2 linked regions of the Neodiprion lecontei genome follow. The protein of the gene in region 2 purifies or fractionates together with the protein of the main gene of each other region. This does not show direct contact. Links are inferred from orthologs where the notes say so. Each region holds a gene or a part of one and is shown on either strand. Other genes may lie near its edges.

Region 1 (9,834 bases), on a different chromosome or scaffold from region 2:
TCTATATTGAATATTTTGTTACAAATTTTATACATTGAATTTTAGGCAGTGGTCGTTGGTACAGCAATTTATCTTCTATTGTACGCAATGTTGTTGGAAGTTTTTAATATCGATGAAATGGTTACGTAAGTACTTCATAACCTGCTTTGGTGTAAACTATTTTTTACATATACAAGAAAACAACTTCCTTGTTATTCACTTATGTGAATAATCAAATAAATCGTTCATGTACCAGTTTTCTTTTTCTTAACGTAGTGTGAGCAGGCATTTCACACATGTGGAGATCTAGCCTCGACAGTTTTTATCAAATAAACAGACTGTTTTTTTTTCCATTTATTGGTTTTCTTTATATCCTTCTTAATATTTTACACATTTAATTCATTCATTGTTAAAAAAAAAGCTTTTGCATTATAACTTAGTTTACGAGCTAAAGACTAAGGGATGGGTAGTGGTGGGGGAGGTCGAAAACTGTACGGCTGCTCGTCGTTTACCAGCAACATTATTTTTTTTTTATAAGATGTTATTATATATTTTTTCTTCTTTTCAAGTTTTCGGTCTTTCGCGCACCGCGCTTAGCTAAAAGTTAGGTATTACGTTGTTGGCCATTGATTCTAAAATTGCAAAAAGCATTCGCAATGGAATTTTTTTTTTTTTCCTAAACAAGACGGCCATGCGAAAGTTTCCGCCTGTAAAGAACACCTGTTTTAGCTCACAATTCTTTCCGAGAGGGTAAGTTGATTTTTTTCAAACAATTTCATTCCAAATCTGGCATATCATCGTCATCACTGTCTGGACCATCGGCGTCATCTCCCATGTCATCTAAATCGTCAAAACTTGGCTTGCGGTCTCCAGAACCACCCAAACCTCCCATTTGGCGCATCATCTGTAAAATGAAGAAGCAAAAAAAAATATGAACTTTCTGTATTAGAGCGCTCAATGAGAAACTTTGCAAAACTTCAACTCTGGCAAAAATAATTTTTAACTTTTAGAGGGCTGGCATTTTGTCCTTGAAATTCAATATTATTTAGAGGTATGATTTATGTATATAAATAGTCAACACATCAGGTGGAGGTTCCGAGTTATCTGCTGACTCCTAAAAGAGCCGGGTAGGCCTTTTAAAGGTAAAAAATATGAAATAAGTTTTAAGGTGTAACTTTACAGTGGGTACTTTGCCAATAAGATTTAATAACGAAATACTATAACTGTATCCAAACGCGAATGAAAAGATGTTTTTGTAACACCTGCATGGGAAGTTTGACTTTGTGCACTGTGGCGGATGTGCGAAGTACCCCATTCCTCACAGTTCAGAAACTGTTGGGAAATATCACACAACTGTTAGGAACTCGTATTTTTCTAACAGTTTTCTGAGCTAAACTAGTACAACTAGTGCCATTTGACGCAATCGACTCGTGACTACAGTTTCGTCGGCTGTGTTGCAGTAACACATCTACATTAACATTAGACCACGTTTACGATTGTCTCAAGTCGAACTTCCCATTACAGGTGTTGCAAAAATTATCATGTGTCATAAATACGGGTTTCATTGCTGCACTCGCCTTCGGCTCGAGCAACAAACTTCACGCTCGTCAGGTATCGCCAACTTCACGCACTCGTATCGCAATATACTATTACATTATTTTTTATGGTAAGTTCGACGGATTATATTATGCTTTTTGTCATTCGGCAATGCAGTATGCTCAACATTAAGCGTATGTAAATGAAACAAAAAAGATATATTGAACTCTTATTGAGTTAAAAATCCTGAAGCTTGAAACATTTCTTTGTTACATACAATAGCGTTAAGTTCACGTGAAATCTCAAAATACATTTAATTAAATTGTTTAAACGAGATACCGATTATTTTAAGAATATGAAGCTATAAATCAAAGTTTCTTCTATTTAAATAGCTACCGACAATTGTAGATAAAGAATATCACATATATACTCGTTTTTTTAACACAGGCATGAAAAAGTCACTTTTTGACGCCTGTTTTCGATCTGTAAAGTGTCACTTTGTACCGCTAACCTCAGAATAGAATACAAAGACTTTATACGGCAGTTTCGATCCCCAGTTCTAAGTGTGCATCTCAGAACTGGCATATAGACTTTATACAGCAGTTCCGACTTCTGTTGCACGATCCGAGGTGTAGATTTCAACAGACGGCAAAGGGACTTATCATGTTTTGCCAGCAAAAAACATTGTGCGGGGTGCACCCGTAAAGTACTTTTGGCTCGTATAATGATTTCATTACTCGCTTTTGGCTAGCTTTTACCTTGTAATGAAATTTACTCGTTCATTATCCTTGCCGTAAAAACACCAACTTTACGGGCATGCCACATAAAGTACTATTTACTTCTGAGAGAATCTTAGTTTAAAGCTGCTTTCTTGGATGAAATTTGTTGTTTGACGCCTGACTGGTCATCACAATGCCAAAGATTATACTCCGCCATCAATATCATTCACAAAGAGAATCGACAAACTTATACTCTATGCTCAGTTAATGCACACTTATAAATTTGAAAAACATTCTATTTTATTTTGTTGTATCATGGGATAATTTAGAAAGAGATTTATGGAATCTAGTGGGTTGTGAAATTTTTAAAATACAGTTGAAACGACATATTTGAAGGATGGAAAAATACACAATTGTTTTCCACAAACCACCCTCGTGTACAGTTTATCAATTTTCATGTGAAAAGACTAAACATTACGACTCTTTTCATGAAAATGAATTAATTAAGCAGATCAATCAATGTTACCTCTTCCAAGTCACGGTTTCCGCCACCACCACCGCCGAAGGATGCTTCATCTTCGCTATCGTCTTCATCTTGCCATTTGTTGAAGTCACTTTTCAGCCAGTGATACTTTTGTTTGTCTTTCGTCAGGTGCGGCCAGTATGGTCCAAGAGTCTTTTTTGTAAGGACCAATTCGAAATTCCTGCCCTTTGGAGTTTGGATTGTCTTTTCTGGGTCGATTTCTTTGTACAAATTGATTGTTACCTCGTGCGCCTTACGTTCAGTGCCGCCAATACCATAGAAATATATTTTATCGGGCTCAACTTTGATTGTGGGATCTTTACAGTCCTCCAGACATATAGTAACGTACACTACGTTACTTCTTTGCGCCCACATCACCGGCGGAGGTGTCACCCTGAGAATAAACAAGGACAGCAAGAATTCGTAAATATCAAGTAAAACGTAAAAAAAAATTCTTGGTTATGAACATGACGTTTCGAGCCGCGATATGAATGAGCTAGATATTCGAATTACGAAAAAATGTGACTGGTTTATTGAACTCGTGGTATTCAAAACGTGGTCATGGGGAAGGAAAATAATGGCAAGTCATAATACGCCGGAAGTGCGAATGGCGATTGATGTATCGACAAAGGGCAGTATTTTTTTTTATGGCGCCGTAAATTATCCAGGGTAGACACTGAGAGCGAGCAATCGAATAACGAGGGGCTGCTGATAAGAAGCCAGATTTATCAGTAGAGAAAACATTTTCGTACTCTCGTGTTACACGATTACGAGCATGAGCCGCATCAAGCCGCTTGGGAATTCGAAGCGTCTCGAGAGGTCGAGAGGGTGTTTTATTCGGTTGGCATGACGTCGATTACAGGAATAGATAATAGTTTATTCGATAATTTAATAAGGGAGCCCTCCCGAGGTAAATATTGTCGGTTAGAACTAGTTTTCTAGAAATTTCGAGAATCAATAAAACCATTTCACAACATGGCGGCGTTTCGAAAGCCTGCAGGGCGGCAGGCGTATTTTTACAATCAATTTAGCACGAATAATGTACCGGACGGTGAGCCAGGTTTCGACACAAAATCCAACTCTACATTTTGAACTAGGCTTAAGTCAATTATTAGCTACTTACTGTCCCTCTTGAGTCATTTTGTAGCTGCTTTTTCCAGCGAAAAGAAACAAACGTGCAAGACTTACGTACCGCGCCGCACAACTAACTCGAGAAATGTTTTCGATATTCAATCTTCGAGGTGTATTCATATCGACAGGACAATAGAGCGTCGGCCATTATTATTGGGCAAATCTCGAAACTTAAAACGTATAATAATGCCTGTCACACCGCAGAACAAAGAATCCCGTTGATGGAATAACTCTAAAAGTATCCCTCGCTTCGCAATTGTTAGCGGCGAGCAAAAAGTGGACAGGTTAAAAATATATTTTTATCGCCGTACGATCATCAATGTATTCGTGGTTCGATGTCTCGATACGAGAGAAGATCGATTTTCATCCGAATCGAAATCGATTTCGAGATAATCGAAGGATACGCTCAGCCCGGGGAATTCAAAGTGGAAAAATGATGCAACGCATATTGAACGTGGTCGTAATAGTATCTTGATGCGAAAACCGGCATTTCGATAAAGATGGATGTTGACTGCTATTGCGGTTTATAGGTAAGCACAGGTTACCACATTGGATATTATTTAATAGATTATGCTAAATAGTTCTCATCGTCATATACTCACAGAATCGTTATGTAAAGAAAATCGGATGAATCGTTTCATCGTGACTGAGTCAGAAAGACATCAATTATAATATAACTGAATCATTTTCGAATTACCCAGCGTTTGTAATGATACATATTGTCAGTTTCAATAATAGATGACTACCTGCATCAATATACGAGTATGATCTCTCGGCGATCTCGGTTTACCTAAGAGTAAACGAAAGCAATTGCGTGCCATACATATTTGCATCGATGCGGTAAAATTTCAAATTCACAGCACAATAATGTTTGCATCTTTTCAACTAACTTTTAGTCAAAAGTGTAATATCACACAATCCCAACAATTCTAAAAACAATTAATCTACCGATTCTTTAGTAACGCTTGCCATACGCCATGCTCTATTCTTCCGTCAAAGTTTTTACAATAACAATTTTTAAGCAGCAAAGTTGAACGTACGACTAAAATAAAATGAAAAGAAGGAGAAAGAGAGAGAGAAAAAAAAAGTGATCAACTTTCTCGATCTATTGCACAGGTAGTGAGTAGAAGATTTACGCGCGTGGAGTATAGCTGCAACATAAATAAATTAATATCAAAAATCGAGGACACAAATATATGAAATTCTGAAATTTGCGCTTCCGCGATAAGTATAAATATTCGCGAAACGCATATATTTCGAAAAATCTATCCCTCTTACAGCGTTTCCGTTTGAGTGATAATTATCATTTGGATGATAGTTTTTTATCAACGTTTTGTGTCGAAACGATCGTAGAAGCCGAATCCACCCGTTCGTATCGAGGAATCCGTATTGACCAAACTCTCCAATCTTCCTTAAGATCGGTAAGAGATGAGAAGGTGGTAGGGAGGAACAGCACTTAGATTGTAGGTCACTTGCAATGGATATGGAGGGGCTGTACCCTTCTGGTAGCGACGATCTAACTGGACATACACAGTAGGTTTTCCAGTCTCTTTCTCCTTCGAGTTGAATCCAGGTGACGAATAGACCGCCGAGTGTCCACTACTATATACTTGAGATACATAATAAATTAGTTAAATAATTATAGTTGCGACACGGCGAGCGTCTGCTTTGATGCCTTGCCACATACGTACATCCATGGCATGGACAGACACTGTGCGCTCATCATTATCTCCGATCAGCGAAGTACTTTTTCGTTTTGCTTTTTCTTTATAAATATAAAACTCGGTTCGGTTCAATGTGTACAATCCGTCAGTGGCCAGTGGACTGCAGTGTGTTAAACTATGTAGTCAGTATCGTATTGCATGTATGTTAAATAAAGCAATCATGACGACCGTATCAAATCTGAGTATTGACTTGCTGTTTGTTTGAGGTAGCCCAGATCAGTGCTTGTTTGTTTAATTAAAATTAACACCATGTCTACAAGTTCGCTCTTCTACAAGGACAAATATGCGGTGAGTATATTTATTTAACGCTATTGCAGATCCAGAAGGTTTAATACGTAATCACCTATGCGTATTGCAACGTATGCACATCGCGTTACATACATGCGTACCTATATTCAGCTATTCTTTTATATCAGTATGCAGGCGTGACTTCATGTGAATCACCTGTCCTGCGCAGGCATTAATTGCTAATTACGCAGCAATCAACTGCCCACACTGGACAATTTAATAAAAATACAAAAAATGATAATACTGAATTGAATGAAATGAAATGAAATACGAAATACACTTCGTGATGCATTTATTGCTTTATGTTTAATTCTTTCGATACAGAAACAGAAAGTAGATGTATGTATATAATTAGATACACGAACAGATTGATACCGCGTGTAGAAATAAAAATAAATTTTCTTAATCGGCACTAAATGTTGATCAATCCGTTACACACGCACCGTATTCGATGCATCGCGAGCTCGCAGGTTTCGTATCTGTTGTTGTTTATTTTTTCCCTTTTTTTTTCTACACATCATGATGTCACGTGGTGCCGTTAAACTGAGAAGGAGAAATGATGCTATCGTGAAATTATCAGCTATAATCTGTTGCCTAAATATGACTACGTGCAGTACAAGTCGAATGAAAAACTGGACATTCCTGTTCGACTGTTGCAATGTTGGTTAAAATTTATAAATAATTATAAATCGAACTTTCGTACGGTGATAATAATAAATGTATAAAAATTGCACACACTTTAGTCGAGTGAAGAAAAAAAGAAAAGAGCTTCAGGGATAAATATATCTGTTATATATGTTTCTTAAAAAAAAATTTGCCAAACGAAGGAAAAAAAGTGCAGCTAACCTACAGAAACAGGTTCGTTTTATTATACCTCATACACATTGTGTATATGTATATATATATATATATGTATATATTATACTTCGGAGCGATGTTCACACAAAGCGTATAATATTTATTAACTTCGAATTTCGTACGTACGGTGTGAATCGGCGCACTCGCACGCCATGACGATTTCCTCTTTCTTATTGGATCTATAAGTGTAATGAAGTGCAGTGTTTGCATTTCCTTCGACGATCGAGGTGCGTCTACGCCTGCAAGTCCATTCCCACGAGTCTATTTTAACAGTACTAAGACCGCAGCTCTTAGCCTTATAGCCTGCTTCACAAACGCAAAGTTCAACCGGCTTCCACTTCCTTGTCTTTTATTTTCGTTACATAATTATACAGGGATCGGATAATAGATTAGAAGAATTACGAACGTAACGCGTGATCGTGGTCTAATACAAGCCTGATAATCGAAGGGCCCTCAGGGGTGAAAGTCTTATGTCAGAGGTTTGCATCTTGTTTTATTATACTGGACCACGGCCTCCCACGCAAACGGCTGCATATAATATGAGGAGAGGAGTAAAACAAGAGGGATACGCATATTAATGTGTTTACATATATTATACGTACACAAATTGGCACGTCTTCCTCCGCACGACGAGCACACACGTGTGTGACATTATAACAGTCTGTAAAATTTATTCAGTTATTATACATATGTATATGTGTAATGTGTACATACGGATGTATCTCTTTCTTGTACATATAATATATATATATATATATATATATATATATATATATATATGCATACTTACAGATAGGCATACAATAATTACGTAAACCTAAATATCATTTCTCTTTCGAACTCCGACTTATACATATGTTGTAAGCGAATACGCGTACAGTAATCAACGCGATATATTAACTTTTAGCGTGTTTTGAAATTCGATAAAAACCGTTCCATCTTTAAGGTTACGATTCTCTTTCATTTTTATAGATTCCGCGTTGATTGTGGCCTACAAAATTGTCGCCGTCGCAGATTCAGCACAGATTTATAATATTATTGCATTAAATCGACTCGTTACTGAAATATCACAGTTCGCACAGTGGCGAAGATTTTTTTCCTGTTTATCATTAAAATTACACAATTTAATACAGAGATAGTGCTGCAGAGAGATGTTCCGGGAACATCCCAGCTAATTAAAACCGTTTGGAAAGAATCGTTAAAGCGGCTTAACTTTACGATTTGCCATTCCGAGTTTAATTCCCAATTAAAATGACAATACCGAATATTTCTTTGATTGGCTTCCGTTAATTTTTTATTTCGTTTAAGCAGAGGACAGGGTTTTGATTCTTTCAGTTCCGTTATGTTGAAACAATAATCGAAACGCATGTCTGACTTCGTGATTAGTTGAAGTAAATATTTCCGAAATAGTGTACAAGACTATACTTTCCGTTCAAGAGTATCGTAAACTTCCTATGATTGTGAGCGGGTTATTACCAATTGAGCAACGCGATAGAACTGTTTACGAAACTTCATCTAGCGATTAAGTGCGGTGTATAGGCGTGAATGCCCACAATAGTAAAGATAGCTTATCGCCCGCCCTCGCGCACATTTCGTCTTCGAATGATCCGGAGGTTATTTCGATTCCTCTAAACTACGTAACATCCAACTGTCGAGCGGTAGGAAAGACGAATAAATAGGCATTTGTAAGCCTGCACGGTAATTTATACCAAATTTAAAAAAAAAATTATTCTCCCCTTATTGCTTTACCAACGCAAAAAAAATACCATCAGCTTTCATCGAGACGATCAGACAGCGGTTTCATATGTTTTTAGTTCTTGCAATAAACTGGCAAAAAATTCATGTAATTCATGAGCCAAATAGTTGTACAGTAATGTTCATTATTGCCTTGAGATTACGGCTAACTTGTTTGCGGTCCGAAACAAAATGCGAGTTTCGATTCTATACGAATTATGTGACAATGCCTCCCAATCTCTCATATCAACTGCACAGCCGGTCACTGTCATAAAATTCGTATAGAATCGAGACTCGCATTTTGTTTCGGACCGCAAACAAGTTAGCCTTAAGCTCAAGGCATTAATGAACATTACTGTACCTATTCGTCAGTCAGTTGTTCACATCGTAATAAAAATACCTCTATTTTTTATTCAACTTACGAAAACCGTGTCAAAATTTTCCATTGCGAACCGTTGCTTCAATCGTATAATAACATAATACTGCATATATTATTATTCTTGATTAAAATGTCGAGAAAAATATTTTACCAGGTAAATAACACGTGGGTACAGGTAATTTTTAGACTGTTTACACACGTCAGGAGTCTGCGGAATATATCACCTAGGTATAATTTCGTCGCGAAATTAAACGGTGAAAAATTCTGCGGGGTTCGGTGTGAGTTAACTGTTTGGGCTTATTGATCACTATATAGTGAATCATGATCACAGTTACACAGACGTGTATAAATTATACCATCCAGCCAAGTTGATCCTTGTTCTGATTTCCTTCGTCCATGATACGACATGCAGGCTTCTTTTTCGAAGAGATCAGAGACCCTGACAATTCGAGTCAGTCGAATAGTGACCTTGCAGCGAAGACCAAGCGCTTATATATATATATATATAAATATCTACCTAAATAATGGCAATCTGATTTTTCACATCTGTTATAATAATGGCGACGTAATTTATCCTTCAAAAGAAAAAAAAACAAAAACAACTTGCACAAAGTCGTAAAAGCCTTCGACTGTATTTCAATAATCGCGTACAACGCAAAATGGCGAGACGAACTTGCAGACAAGGCGGCGTCTATAATTTTAACCATGTTGCAGTTACGTACGTCCATCCATACGTCGCGTACACGCATAACGCATCTCCATTGCGGCACGATACGTACGTGGGTTAAGCACGTCGTTGCGGAGGAGGGGGAATTCATTGTGAAAGATCCCGGTTCCGGTTCCCTGGTTATTTCCGGTCTGTCCTTGTGTACGTCGCTCGTCCGATACCGCTATTTTAATAAAGTATATGTATAATGTACGCCTGCTGCGGACCGCCATCCATGGCTCTGCACGTGTGATGCG
Region 2 (8,396 bases):
ATTTAGCAGCTAGACTATACTTATAGGTAGGTATATAGGTATATCACAATCGATCGGCAGACGTGTGTCACTGTCAAGTACGGAAAGGTGAATTATCGTCCACTTCAGTTCGCATAAACTTTCCTTATACACGACTTCGACCTGGTATAGTAAACGTACTTATATTATACGATATTGATGCGCAACCTCGTGATTATATGAGGGAAACATTTATATTTATGACTATGTAGAACGGCAGCTACCACGCTGCTCTCCAGTATGGGGAAAACATTTTGAAACTCGAACATTTGGCTGCTGATTGCCTGAAGCAAATACACCTAATTCGCAGTATTGAGGGTCACGATATACCAACAATTTTCAAGGAAGACCGAGTATAACACGTTACTACATAATCACAGAAGAGGGAAAACTGCCAGCTTCAACTTCTGTATATCTCCGTTTGTGTGATCTGTGTTAATGTAAGAGCAGCACATTCAGAGCCTGCTAATTATCTTGAATATGCATATCTCACTATATGTGACACGGTATGTTATACCTACGCATCTTGTATACCTGTAGGTCATGCTTGTAACAGCACGGATTGGTTCATAAAAAGATGGTCGCTAATAATACTCTGGGACATGAGATAAGCCTTAAGAAATGTCGATTACGTGATTTACTCCGAGTACATATTTACTTATAGTCTTTTAACTACGCTTCATAAATCCTAATTGCCGATATGGCATTGAAAATTGAATCCCTTCAGACACGAGAAATACCCATTTTATATTTCAGTACACAATATTTCGTAAGAAGTATGTACATCTTATAATTTCCTATCCTAACAAAATTTTCATACATCTTATATCTATTATTTAAGACTTATGATTATTATTTGACCTATATTCTTGTGTGTAAGAACTCATTTTTGTCTCCACAGAAAAATTTATCGTATGGAACATTATGCTCTTTGAAAAAAATACGCAAGCTTAAAGTAGTGAATATGGTAATCACTTTACTTCGTAATTAATTGTTTCAAAATTGGTAAGTAGAGTTTGTGAGAAAGAAAAAACTTTCAAGTTTGCGAAAATGACATTTGAACGGGTGTATCTTAACACTATTATGTAGGTATACTATAGGGTAGATTCCGATGTATTTCACACTTCCAAATGAAACCAATTTTTGCATAATATATTTACTGATTCCATCTAATTTTTACTCTCCGAGAAGACAGTTTATCGGCATTTCAAATGATCCGAAATTTTGCAAAAATTGCAGTTCTAATGCCACGTAATGTATTGTAGTGACAAGATTTGCGCACACCGCAAACTTTAATGAAACTCTTTTCCAAAATTCAAGTAGAACATGTTGCCCGGAATTAATTTAGGCACTTTGATATAGATATATTTCGTAACCTTGACAGAAAGAGTAGCCAAAGATCTTAACAGGATGTTTATTGGACTAAATGCCGAGAGTAAATAGGTGCTAAAGAGGGCAGAAAAATTAAATTGAGAAGATGAATCTCACGAAATACGATACAGCGTGAAAAAAAAAAATTCAAACACGATGCAAATTGTCAAACGACACGCACCGGTAAGCTTCTATACTAAAATATTCATACTCGTATTGTTCAGTTGCATGTCAAATCACAATGTAATAATAAGCGGTATTTTAATAGACCATTTTGTCATAGATATTACCGAGAACCGACAAAACAGTTTTACACTTCGACATTTTAAATTTCTGATGCACTTTGGCTGAGTACCGACAGAGTATGCCGACAGTCAATGAAAGACCGCTTTTATTACATTATATTGCAGCTACCACTGATCTCGCTACTACACTTTCCTACGCGTTCTGAATGAGTTACAAGAGTATGATAGCATTTAATTGGTGAATGTGTTATATAAGACCACTGAGCTCAGACACATGCTGAGAGAGATTGGCAACGGTTTTTTTTCCGTACAGTCCAATCCAAAAAGTTGACATGTTCTGTCAAAAGAATAATTCATACTTACAGGTTATACGTGACACCGCTATCTCGATGCCATATGTTAGTTATTGCATCCACGAATACAAAACGCATGCGCCATTGTTGATTTCTTAATGTTGTACCAATTACTTGTCTCTCACTGTCCTCTGGTGAATGCGACCGCGTTGACGAACAAACTTTTTGTTGGTATTATACCAAGTTACCCGCGCGCATGCGCAACGCAGTAAGACAGAGAAAAAGATACTATCAGCCACGGACTAAAAAGTATACAGAGAGGATACCCTTTACTCCCTCGGAGTAGATAAGACACCGATTTATACCGTTGACTTATCCTCAGTCAACGTATATACTAACATTAAATCAACAATATCGGTAGAAAGTGTTTGCGCGATTCACGCTATAACTATGTTCATACAGCTCGACTCATTTCGCGAAATGTAATTTTCACGTATTTCTGACTCTCGATGTGAATAACTGTCTATATAATATACTTTAAATTAAAAGTGATTTTCGAATTAAAAATTCTTCAATTTTCACTGATATAGTATTTGTATTAAGGATCGTGAACAAAATGCCGTATTATACAGCCACAGTTTACAGTTCATACTTTACTCACCCCAAATATGTATTTTATGTTAAGAAATAACCCAAGCATTACTTACAATAAATATATAGAAATTGCATAAATATTCCTATTTGATGCTGTACAAATTTCAAGTGTTTCTTGTATCTATTAATATAAAAATATGTTACTTATCTCAAATGCGTGAAGCAAACAATAAATCAAAATTAGATCAACTTAATTGCTATGCTTATGCCGTTGATGTAATTCTTATATGGTTTGTATGTGGCGCGCAAACACCTCCTACCAAGATGGCGGACATGGCTGATTCCAGGGTCTAATCTAGGGACTGAAATAGATATCTCGCTAGCACATTCGTGTCTAGCGTTACGATAATGCAGTGTGTACTGGTGTGTAGGACAGTTAGGCACACGGAACGCGAATCAGGCGTGAACCAATCATGAATTTCTGTATTTCAAACGATGACTTGTCCATGCGTTACGATGTTGACGATGATTGGTTTATTTTCTGGGTATTCATGAACACGGGAATGAACATTTTGCTGCAGATCCGCCTTTAGGTATCATACATGCATTTGTAAAAGAAAGCCAGCCCTTTCTTTTTAATGCCTTATTTATTACCTGTCTTCTAAGATAATTTAAGTATAGTTTCTCCATTATCTGTTCAATCGTATAAAAGTACATCATTACAAAATGAGTGAGAACGCTGAAATAACTGGAGCAATATCTTCTTCCGACGATATCAAGACAGCCGAAAAGTTCAAAGAAGAGGCAAACGAGTACTTCAAAAGTATGTTGCATTCACGATTTTCATATATTTACCAATGTATACTGATAAATATCGTTATCAATCGCTCCAGACCGATTCCGATGAAATTCGTTAAATCCTTACCAATTTTTCAAGATCGGTCACGTGCAATCAAACTAACCAAACTTAGTGTTTGCGATTCTAAAATTCGCATTTCATCGGTTCCCTATTCCTTTCAAATAATCCTACTAGTAATTTCTAACCTGTAATATTAGTTTTATAACTGCAACTAGGTTTAAGAATATTTAAGGTTTATGTCATCGATGTGGTTCCTCACTTGTCTTCCTTCATGACTTTTCAGATGCGACTGAATGACAAAAATCTCTTCCCTACTCTACATAAGAAAAATGAGCCCTGTATTCCATTAGTATATGTTCACCTTTCCCCAAATTCAGGATGAACGGTTCACGTTACCTTAATTATAATCTTATATCTCAATCATTGATTTCTTTGAACAATAAGTAATTTCACTTCTACGTCTATTGGTCCGAGAAATAACGATTCTCAATTGAATGACTTCCAAATTTCGAGGGTTAAAAATTCAACCCTTCCCATATGATTGCATGTAAAGAAAGTTTCACACAAATTAAATAACATGATAAAATTCACAAATTTAAATGTAAGAAGAATCGTTATGTTTTATCACAAAGGCTATGATATCAGTCAAACAACAATCTTAATGTGCAATAAAGCTACCTTTTATGATTGGGGTTGTGTATACTATGTGACAGAATCATATTTAAAAGAAATTTCACTGATTCTAGTGAAAGTGTGAAACAAAAAAACTTATACCAATAGTTAGAAAAATGTCATGACAGTTTGTGGAAACGTACATATCAAATATGTGACGAAACATTTGTTATACCTTCCGTTATATATTAGTTAATGTTAATAAGGTCGAGCCACAATAGTCTTAGTGTTCAAAATATTTTTCCTCTAAAAAACAAATGTGAAAAGTTGGTAGATAAACAAAATAAGCTTCCAAAATATTATACAACTATCCTTTTGGAATAAACCACAACATTCTTATAGTACCTTTACAGATAATTGAAACATGATTCTAACAAGACTTTTTTCTATCACATTCTTAAAAACCAATTTGAACTTCATTTCGATTCAACACCAGACTAATTAATTACTCGAGAAGTATTTCAGAAAATTAATATTTTACGGCTACTGATTGGCGATGTTTCAAATAATCAAAGTAACACGCGAAATTTTTTGTTAGTAAACAATTTTTTAAATTAATGCATCTATTTCTTTTACAGAACAAGATTATAATCGAGCTATAGAATTGTACACAAAAGCGATAGAAGTGGACCCCACTGTCGCTGTATATTATGGAAACAGAAGTTTTGCCTACCTGAAAACCGAATGTTTCGGATATGCCCTGACGGATGCCTCAAAGGCAATTGAATTAGACCGAAACTATGTAAAAGGCTATTACAGAAGAGCAGCAGCTTACATGTCGCTTGGTAAATTTAAGCTGGCTCTTAAGGACTATGAAACAGTGACAAAGGCCAGGCCCAATGACAAGGATGCTAAAACAAAATTCACTGAATGCAATAAAATGGTGAAAAAACTAGCTTTCGAAAAAGCCATCTCTGTTGAAGAGAATAAGAAGAATATAGCTGACACGATTAATCTTGATGACATGGGTAAGTCTAAAATATCACAAATACAAACACTGAATTTTACTAAAATGAATCAATTAGAGCTACGATTTTTTATTGGTCTAATTTTTATCTCAAGTATAAGCTGAAGGCTGTCAAATTCGGAACCTGTGTAAACCCAATTTTTTTTAAAATACTGATGGTGTTTTTCAAGTGTGCTGTTAGCTTCCAATTATCACCGAATTCATGTGAAAGTTCAAAAATGATTTCTAAACTGCCTGCGAATATTTTTCTAAAATCTCAAATTAGCTAATACAGTGTACAAAAATATACCAATCTAATAATTTCCAATTCCCAGTAAATGAGTATTACCAATCAAAAGACGGTCTCAGGTACGCACTATATACCCCAAAAATAAATATATACCTTATTCAAGGGTTGATAAACAGAATCCGCAAGTTAACTACAGATTTTCCAGAACAACAAGATCTTGTAAAAATATCGTTGAGAAACACACTGAGTCTTGTTTAAATTTTATTAACTTCAATATTGATGATCATTCTACTTAGCAATTGAAGACGAATACACCGGACCAAAACTAGAAAATGACAAAGTAACCTTGGAGTTTATGACGGATTTACTATCTTGGTATAAGAAGCAAAATAAACTTCATCGCAAGTATGCCTACAAGATACTTCTCGATATCAAAGCATGGTTTATGGCGCAGCCAAGCTTAGTAGATATTTCTATACCTGACAAGAGCAAGTTTACCATTTGCGGCGATATACATGGCCAGTATTATGATCTACTCAACGTATTCAAGCTGAATGGTCTACCCTCGGAAACCAATCCTTATGTATCCTTTTTGTTGATCAGATTAAACCACTGTGAACATAATATTAAGACATTCTCAATCGCTCAAAGTGCACTTCATCATCAAATAATGTCTACTTTCACAACTATGCGTTACAATGAGCAGTAATTTTCCTCAATATTGAATAGTTATTTAACGGAGACTTTGTGGACAGAGGATCCTTTTCTGTAGAGTGTATATTCACGTTGTTCGGCTTCAAGCTTCTATATCCCAATCACTTTTTCATGTCAAGGGGTGAGTTTTGGTTCATCATTATAAGTATTGTGAATTACCTAGTACTAGCAATGAGTCTATTTAAAATGAAGGATATTTTACTTACTATAAAAACAGTCATACTTTTACAATTGTAATTATAAAACTGATATTATTTCAAGTTATTTCATAGCAATTTTTCATTCATCTTTCTTCCATATGCTTATCGGTATTGCGGGAGAGAAATGATGAGATTTTCGGTTTAGAGTTTACATTCTTTGGATGACCGGTACATTTCTCATTGTCAATTTTGTGCAGAGCTACAGTAGAGTAAAAAAATAGTGTGCCAGTATTCTGTTGAAAAAAACCACAAGACACAGAATAGCTAGCTTGAAATGAGTATTTATAATAATTAGAGCGTCTATAGATAATATCTATCGTCGTTAGTCTCAATAGTAAAACAATGCGTAAACTGGTCTGGTCAATTATTGGTAAAAATTTGCAATATCTAATGATACAAAGCTGTCTTAAGTGTTTTGATCATATTTAGTGAGCTATCATTGAATGCACTTAATCACAAATGCTAATCCAATGCTGTGTTCTACGTTTTATTAATTATCGCATCAATTCGTTGGCCAGGAAACCATGAATCTGCAACTATGAATCAAATGTATGGCTTTGATGGCGAGGTCAAGGCAAAATACACAGCACAAATGGCGGAACTTTTCACAGAGGTTTATAATTGGCTGCCTCTTGCGCACTGCCTCAATAGTAAAGTGCTTGTAAGTATGTGCATGTGATATTTAAAATATGTACCAGTAATATTTACCAGTATAACCAATTTACCATAAGTACCAGTATAAGCATATTGCAATATCAATTTTGTTAAGTTAATAACTTCTACAATCAACATTTATCTGTGAACTTACCTCTTCAGAGATATGTGGTTATATCTAATTACTGCCTTACTCTTATTCTTTGCTCTGAATGCCTCTGTATCCGTAAATGTAAACGACTGTTTAATTTTTCCATTTTATTTATATTCTGGACATTCATTTTTAGCCCTAAGTGTTTGGGATTGTCCTTCATTTATGAATTGATTATACGTGTATTTCGACATTAAGTAACCCTAAACGATCAAATTTATGTGTAGAATATTATTGTGAATTTTATTCGTAGAATGAAGTTTCATAATAACATCATGACAGATAAATGTAAATAGTTTTCGGGTATAATTCCCATGATATCAAATTTTGTACAGAATTTTGATAAAATTAAATTATTTTCTGGCCAGGTGATGCATGGAGGACTATTTTCAAGGGACGATGTGACGTTGTCCGAAATTCGAGAAATAGATAGAAACCGGCAGCCACCGGAAGAAGGACTGATGTGTGAATTGTTATGGTCAGATCCACAGCCTCAGCCGGGCCGAGCCCCTAGTAAAAGAGGGGTTGGGGTTCAATTTGGACCCGACGTCACACACAATTTCCTCAGTCTGAACGGACTTGATTATATCGTTAGAAGTCATGAAGTGAAAAATGAGGGCTATGAAGTTGCACATGATGGCAAATGTATCACGGTTTTCTCAGCTCCCAATTACTGGTAAGTTTTATCTACACTCAAGGTTTTTGAGAGCTGTACCCTACAAAATTTCCATGCAAAGTATTCTATTTTCGAACAAGTTTCGAGTTGTCAAATATTTTCGCGTTGAAAACGAAAAATAATGTTTGATTGCTTATGACGCTATATCGCAGTTAAAAAACTTGTTGAGCTACCTGAAATTTCGTTCTTTCGGAGTAATAAATATATTTTACTTAAATTAGAACACTGGTATCATTTATAATTTATTTGTTTAGTGATACCATGGGTAACCGAGGTGCCTTTATCACGCTCAACGGTAAAGATATGGAACCCAATTTCACATCATACGAAGCAGTGGTGAGATGATTTACTCATTATGTAATATCGTGATTACTGAACGATAAAAATAGCGCACAGCAGTAAATATTTACTTGGATCATTTTTCAAATAATTTATTTTTATTATCGTTGCAGCCCCATCCGAACGTGAGGCCAATGGCGTATGCTAATTCTTTACTAAAATTCATGTGCTAGTGGGGTGGACTTAGGAATAATAATGAGAATTAAATAATTGATAATTGAATACAACTAGCCAAACAAAGTGTGTATTATATTTGATACCAATTCGGGAGTGATATAACGTAATCACTGTCCAACACCTATAATTACTAGATTTTAGTCAAAGAAGACAAGACAATTTATTGTATCATCCTTGCGGATGTCATCGCATGATTGAGGTATATAGAATCATGTTTGAAATAATTATTGCATATTT

The links.
Region 1: the proteins of serine/threonine-protein phosphatase 5 (region 2) and co-chaperone protein daf-41 purify together in Homo sapiens (affinity purification with mass spectrometry; 5 studies listed by BioGRID and IntAct, with this or other methods). This does not show direct contact. The link is inferred for Neodiprion lecontei from reciprocal best matches to the Homo sapiens genes PPP5C and PTGES3.

Annotation. Positions count from the first base shown.
Region 1 is NC_060263.1:36,971,684-36,981,517, reverse strand, and holds co-chaperone protein daf-41, read right to left. Parts: upstream 4,090-9,834; 5' UTR 4,009-4,089; coding exon 3,881-4,008; intron 3,152-3,880; coding exon 2,761-3,151; intron 884-2,760; coding exon 755-883; 3' UTR 541-754; downstream 1-540. UniProt on the Homo sapiens protein: Cytosolic prostaglandin synthase that catalyzes the oxidoreduction of prostaglandin endoperoxide H2 (PGH2) to prostaglandin E2 (PGE2).
Region 2 is NC_060264.1:9,721,899-9,730,294, reverse strand, and holds the start of serine/threonine-protein phosphatase 5, read left to right. Parts: upstream 1-3,102; 5' UTR 3,103-3,247; coding exon 3,248-3,344; intron 3,345-4,630; coding exon 4,631-5,020; intron 5,021-5,544; coding exon 5,545-5,831; intron 5,832-5,977; coding exon 5,978-6,083; intron 6,084-6,680; coding exon 6,681-6,823; intron 6,824-7,335; coding exon 7,336-7,643; intron 7,644-7,897; coding exon 7,898-7,979; intron 7,980-8,095; coding exon 8,096-8,155; 3' UTR 8,156-8,396. UniProt on the Homo sapiens protein: Serine/threonine-protein phosphatase that dephosphorylates a myriad of proteins involved in different signaling pathways including the kinases CSNK1E, ASK1/MAP3K5, PRKDC and RAF1, the nuclear receptors NR3C1, PPARG, ESR1 and ESR2, SMAD proteins and TAU/MAPT.